Linked DNA regions of Yarrowia lipolytica. The protein of the gene in region 1 interacts with the protein of each later gene in a pairwise test. Links are inferred from orthologs where the notes say so. Each region holds a gene or a part of one and is shown in the gene's direction. Other genes may lie near its edges. The genes, in order: YALI1_D21565g and YALI1_E23313g.

Evidence for each region.
Region 2: the proteins of YALI1_D21565g (region 1) and YALI1_E23313g interact in binary tests that used the Saccharomyces cerevisiae proteins (3 or more experiments, as listed by UniProt). The link is inferred for Yarrowia lipolytica from reciprocal best matches to the Saccharomyces cerevisiae genes NCS6 and URM1.

The regions. Positions count from the first base shown.
Region 1 is NC_090773.1:2,154,768-2,158,421, forward strand, and holds YALI1_D21565g (uncharacterized protein), read left to right. Parts: upstream 1-1,749; coding exon 1,750-2,847; downstream 2,848-3,654. Other genes in the region: YALI1_D21553g (uncharacterized protein), read left to right, coding at 558-1,307. UniProt on the Saccharomyces cerevisiae protein: Plays a central role in 2-thiolation of mcm(5)S(2)U at tRNA wobble positions of tRNA(Lys), tRNA(Glu) and tRNA(Gln). Directly binds tRNAs and probably acts by catalyzing adenylation of tRNAs, an intermediate required for 2-thiolation.
Region 2 is NC_090774.1:2,330,351-2,333,289, reverse strand, and holds YALI1_E23313g (uncharacterized protein), read left to right. Parts: upstream 1-1,944; coding exon 1,945-1,967; intron 1,968-2,015; coding exon 2,016-2,292; downstream 2,293-2,939. Other genes in the region: YALI1_E23325g (uncharacterized protein), read right to left, coding at 12-761; YALI1_E23302g (uncharacterized protein), read right to left, coding at 2,364-2,474, 2,554-2,939.

The DNA.
Region 1 (3,654 bases):
GTGAGACATACCAAGTGCAGGTAGTACCGTAGCTACAATATGAGACACTTCACCGTCTACAGCAAAACAAGTATTTATCTTCAACAACATGTTGATCTATAATATAAATAATGTCTTTCGTTCGAACGACTTGAGCGACTTGTGACTCAGGACCGTGCCTTGTACCTGAACTACTTGTAGCTAGCTAGGTATGATGCACAGACGTAGTACCCTTGAAAGTGCTGCAGAAGGGGTTAGCGGGGCTTGTTCAGGGAGGACTTGAAAAATGCTATAGCACGAGATTTGTACTATAGCTTCACCCAGACCCAGCTCCTGTTCAGCAACACTGACGGCCATTAAAGAATCATCAATCCACCCATTCTCATGAGGAGACAATATCAATAATACAGCCAACGGATTCGGACGACGGCCGTCTTCGTCTCGGCGCGTTCATCCTGGGATGCCCCTGTACGTTGTGCAACTTGTTATCGGACCCGGGTGAGTCCTGCCCGAGACCATTCGTAGATCTCTACTTGCCAGTTCTCATACCAGCCTCGGACCGTCTTGGCGGCGGCATTATGACGCTGATGAGCGGTGGCGTCGTCAGCGTGCTTCTTGCTGATCCACACACAGGTGGCCAGATTGTTTCCGGCCTCGTCGGGCACGCCAAACCAGTACTTGAGCAGACCTCCAGAGTTGTTAGCCTCGGCATGAGAAGACTCGTCGAGGTCGGAGAGCTTCTGACGCATATCGTGGGAGGTTCGCACGTGTTCAAACAGCCGGGATCGGAAAGCCACGCAGTGAAGAGTGACGCCTTCGGGCACCAGGGGAGTCAGGTCTTCAAACGGGAACGACTCGATGTAGTCACCTACAGCATAATCGGGCTTGACGGCCCGGAAAAGGTCCCGGAGGGCAACCACAATCTCATGGAGGTTTTGGGGCACCCCTCCGAGGTCCAGCAGGTGAGCCTGACCCGTGTAGGGAGAAGACTGGACCATTCGAGGACGCTCAGTGTCAAAGTGGGGTTCAGAAAGCGCCTTCAGAGACTGAAAAGGGTTGCTATCAATTGCAATGGTCGCCATGGTGGTAGATGTGGGGTTCAGAACGCAGTAAGAGGAAAGCTCCCAACCATCATGTCATTACAGATCTACTCGTCCAGGGTGTTTTTTTTCTTCTTTTTCTTTTCTTCTTTTCTTTCTTTTTATGTTCTTTTTGGTGTGCGTGCATGTGGCTTAAGCCACGATATGGAGCGGTTTGTAAGAATGCAGACGATAATGCGGATCGTTAGAGATACGAATCAAGAGCTGGAAACGAGAGGAACGCAGTGATGGCGTTTGTTTGACGGTATAGATGGAATTAAGCGGCTCAACAGGACCCGTCACCAATACCACCCTGCACGAAAATAACCTTAGTGTGGATCCACGGAAAAATAAAATTCGCAAAAAAAAAAACAAAAGAAAAAAAAAAAAACAGGAACAGCGCCGTACGATCACACGTGTTTAGATGTATATAGATTCGAATGAGGCTGAAATCAATACCATTTGGTTATACAAGCCAGTAAAGCTCCTCAGATATGCGAGAAGCGCGTTATATCAAAATTATATCAAAATTAAAACATTTTGACGCGGCTCCGGATCGAACCCACAACCACCATAAATAAACTTACTAAATAAGCATTTAACATGCGTATAAAACGCAACCTGGGTGATTTTTTGAAAAATGCTGAGTAATTAGCCGTTTCTCCTTCTACAACACAAGAAGATCGGAAAAATGCTGTGTGTGCTGTGCGAGTGCCGCAAGGCCATGCTGAAGCGACCCAAGACGCTGCAACCCATCTGCAAACCGTGCTTCTACAACGTGTTTGAGACCGAAATCCACAACACGATTGTTGAATCAAACCTCTTCTTTCCGGGAGAACGGGTGGCCATTGGAGCCAGTGGTGGCAAAGACAGTACGGTGCTTGCGCACGTGATGAAAACGCTGAATGAGCGGTACAACTATGGTGTGGACTTTGTGCTGCTCTCTATCGACGAGGGTATCCATGGCTACCGAGACGACTCTCTGGAGACGGTGAAGCGAAACAAGGTGCAGTACGACATGGATCTGGAGGTGGTCAGTTACAGTGAGCTGTACGGGTGGAGCATGGACCAGATTGTGGCCCAGATCGGCAACAAGAACAACTGCACCTACTGTGGAGTGTTTCGAAGACAGGCTCTTGATAGAGGTAGTGCCAAGCTAGGAATCGCACATATCGTCACAGGTCATAATGCTGACGATATGGCCGAGACAGTGCTGATGAACTTGTTACGGGGCGATACTGCTCGTCTGGATAGATGTACCGAACTGGTGACTGGTTCAGATGACTCTCCTGTCAAGAGAAGTAAGCCTCTTAAGTACGCATATGAAAAGGAGATTGTGCTTTATGCCCATTACAAGAAGCTCGACTACTTTTCCACCGAGTGCACATACTCTCCCGAGGCATTCCGGGGCACGGCTCGTACGCTGATCAAAAATTTGGAGGCCATTAGACCGTCTACCATCATTGACATCATTCACTCTGGAGAAGCCTTTGTGCTCAAGAAGAAGAAGGAGAAGAAAGGCAAGGGCTCTGTGGTTGTGAAGGCCAAGGTGGAGGAAAAACCTGTCCCCTCCGGTGGCTGTTCGGTACCTCTAGCATTTGATTCCAGCCTTGGGCTCTCCAACAGATGCACCAAGTGTGGCTATTTATCTCATAATGCCGTTTGCAAGGCCTGTGTCTTGCTGGAGGGTCTAAATGCTGGACGAGCCAAGATGCAGATTGAGGGAGACAGCGCTGACGGAGCTGCTAAAAACATCAAGACCTTGGAGAAGCTGGCCTTGAGTATTTAGTGGTATATAGCATAGTTATTTATTGATACATGGGGTAGCCATGATGGGTGAAGAATCAACACCAGCGAGACGCATCTAAAAAGTGCTCTATTTGTCGTGCTAAGCTCATAGTCGTAAGCAGAGGGAGCTCTGAACGGCTCAGAACAGCTGGATTAGCCACATTACGAAACAATCAATCATTATCGTCCCATATTTCTGCTTCTTCGGAGTCCGACAAGTGTGGCTAAAGTCGGAGAGTGGGGATAAGCCACGAGTATGAGATTCATATTGTGGAGAAAGGAGGGTAGTATGGCGAAAACAGGGGATTGGAAGACGAAATTTAACAGCTCAGGAATGGGTGTGAACAGAATGACGTCATTTCCGTCTGAAGCATGCACATCAGGTTGCACACATATCAATATGATGCACAGAAGACACCAAAGAAAGACCACACTCTCTATCAAATTGTTCATCCGATTAAATGTACAGCATTGGTGGCGTATGATGATATTTGCCATGAATAAGCCCAAAGAATGCCTATTGCAATGTGTGGCTTGGTGGCTTACATGAGAGACGGGAGATAGGATGATATGGAACTTTACACGAGATCAGAATGTATGAATGTGATACGAATTTGAAGCGATTGGTCGGTTATTATGTACTGTAAAGTAATCGAGTGGATCTCCAGTGATATGAGCAAGTCTTACCTAAGAAAATGGACACCTCTAGCCCTACACAATTGTCAAGTATGTTCAGTATGTACAGTACAGTAACATTGACGAGCAGACTCACGAGTAATATACAAACCGCAATTCAGCTGGTGCAAGT
Region 2 (2,939 bases), on another chromosome or scaffold:
CATGGCTCAGCTTAACTTCTCTTCTTCACCTTGACCTTCTCCTGGTCGAGATGGTGCTTGGGAATCCAGCTCTCATCGTAGCCCTTGGGTCCAGTCTTGACGCCGGAGCCAGCAGGAACCACAGGCTTGGCTCGAACGGGCTTCTTCTCCTGTCCGTAGGTGCCGGTAGCGTATGGGATGGCGTACACGTTAACAACGTAGTATCCCAGAGCAGCGGCGGTGATTCCCAGCACAATCTGGGCAAACAGGAACTTGAAAGACAGAGGAGAAACATAGGGGTCGACAATCGACACGGGGCCGTCAAAGGCGTGCACCTGGTACACCTCGTTGCCGTACTGGATGTAGACCTGGATGACGTTTCGGTAGACCTTGGCATCGAGGTTGGTCTCGAACTGGTGGGTCAGGGCCGCGGTCTTGCCGCTGTCGACCTTGATGGGTCCCACCTGGGTGCCCTGGACGCTGACCACCACCTTGTCGGTCTTGAGGTCGTAGAAGGTGCCTCCCACGGCCACCACAGAGATGGGGTCCTTCTCCTTGTTCTCGAACACCAGGTTGATGGGCACGTCTTCGCCGTTGATGAAGGTGTTGGCGACGAAAAATCCGGCGTCAGACGCCTCCACGTCCGAGTTGGAGCCGATCTGGGCGACGGCAGAAAACTGCAGATGAGAAGCCACGGGAATCTCAACGGGGCCGGCCTTCTTGCCCCAGGCAGATGCAGTGGAGGCCAGAGCCATGGCCGCAGCAACAAGACTGATCTTCATTTTGCGGGATTAGTGTAGTGTTGTGCAAGTGTTGTCCAAAAACAAGTGTGTACAGTAGATGTTGGTGGTGGGAGTAGAGTTGAATCTAAGTTTGAAAGATACGACAGGAACGACACACGAGCTGCTTGTGGAGCAAGTATGGAAAGAGTTTGGTGGATTATGGACACGCCATTAAATACATATTTCTATTCTGAGTAGATTGGCCTTTTCTGCGCCCAAAAAGCGTCCACTTTCGACGAAATAAACCCACCATGTCTTTTTTTTTTTTCTTTCTTCTACATACAGTACACACACTATCTCAGACAACATACGGCACTCTGACTCAAGAAGTGACTGGTGGATGCTGATGGAACGCCGTGGAATTTCGAATTGACGGGGAAAATCCGCGCGGAAAAAGACAAGAACCACATACGCTGGGTAGCCACTCCAGGCGTTCACGTGACACCCACATTTCCCATAGTCAGTCCATTTTATGGCAGGCCTCTCCGTTTTACTCTGCTGTTCTGACGCCATTCCCCATAACTTCAACCTAATGTGGCTGCTTAGTAATGGTGGTTTTTTGCTTAGTAATGGTACGGTAGCTTAGTAATGATGTGACTGCTTAGTAATGGTGAGTAGCTGCTTAGTAATTGTGGGAGGGGTTGGGGGCGTGAGGTGAGAGGGGAAAAACTGTTGTAATGTGGATCTAGTTACGTGTGAGTATAATTACATAATTACATGTTGAGTCGAAGTACCAAAAGTGTTTTATGAAGCATTGGTTGAGTAGTTCACAAGTTTCTGACCGTTTCTGACGATTTTGGTAATTTTTTTATCTTTTCCCTCAAATTGTCTCAAAATTTTCAAGTTGTGTCCTCGGTGAGATTTGAACTCACGTCTCCAAAGTACACTTTATAAATGTCAAGTACAAAAATAACTATATATCAATTTTTTGTTGAATATTAATAAGTAACGAAAACAATCGCAATAAGGCAGCCTTGACGCTGAAATTTGAAATGATGCATTAATCAGTCATATTATATATCAAGGAGCAGTTCAGATGTCGCCACTACTTCTCTTTTAGCCACAAAAGCAACAGAAAGATGCCCCTCGTCGTAACCCTAATCTACTTGTAGGCAGAATCAAGATCAAGTGCCTATATTAATAAAAGCATGCATCATCTTCTTGCCTATACCAACCGCACACCATGCAAATTACTGTGGAATTCAGGTGAGTAGCAAGAGGCGCAGGAAACACCCGCGACGTCAACTAACCCAGTGGAGGGCTCGAAACCGCCTTCGACGGCAACAAAAAGCACGTGCTGGACGTGCCGGAGGGCTCCTCAGTCAATTGGCTGTTGCACCATATGGTGGAGACTCTGATGCCGGATCACAAGCGAGAAGAGGGCAAAAACATCTTCTTGCAGGACGAAAGTGTGCGTCCCGGGGTGTTGGTGCTCATCAACGATTCGGACTGGGAGCTGGAGGGCGAAGACCAGTACATTTTGCAGCCCCGAGATGTCATCATCTTTGCCTCAACTCTTCATGGAGGTTAGAGGAAAAGAGGGGGAGAGAAAGAGAGCTGGGTCAAAATGAGCCGATAAGCATGGGTCGCGGAAGAACCGACTTACAGCAGTCTCAATGCCGCCCCGATAAGCCCATTTCCTTCCCACTTGGCTGGGAGCAGCGTGAGGGTGAGAGTTTCTTCTTCTCGGAGAACCACCACATCCACGGGGTTCTGTGTTAGCAAACAAACAAACAAACAACCTGTTCAGAGTCACATAGCCAACCCATCCATGTCATAATATAATACTCACTCCTTCAACAACCGCGAGAGGCAAGGCTTGAGGGATACGAGGAGTAGTAGCCTCCACGTTTCCCAGTCGTACGATTTTGTCGTTGATTTTGAGTCCCACCGAAGAAGCAGGCGAGCCATCGGACACCACGCCCACGACGGCAAAGGGGACCACGTGGTCGCTGCGCGTGGCGGTAGGTGTAGCGGTAGGTGCAGAAACGGAGCCATTAGTAGTAACAGCAGTACCATCACCGTTTGACTTGGTCTGCTCCTTCTGGTTCTGCCAATGGCCCATAACAGCTTCCTCCAGCTCCTTCTGAATGGCCTCAATGTCGTTTTCCAGCCGGATGATCTGGTGGCGAGTGTTTCTGATCTGGTGAACGTCGATATCCGCCCGCGGGAAGCCAT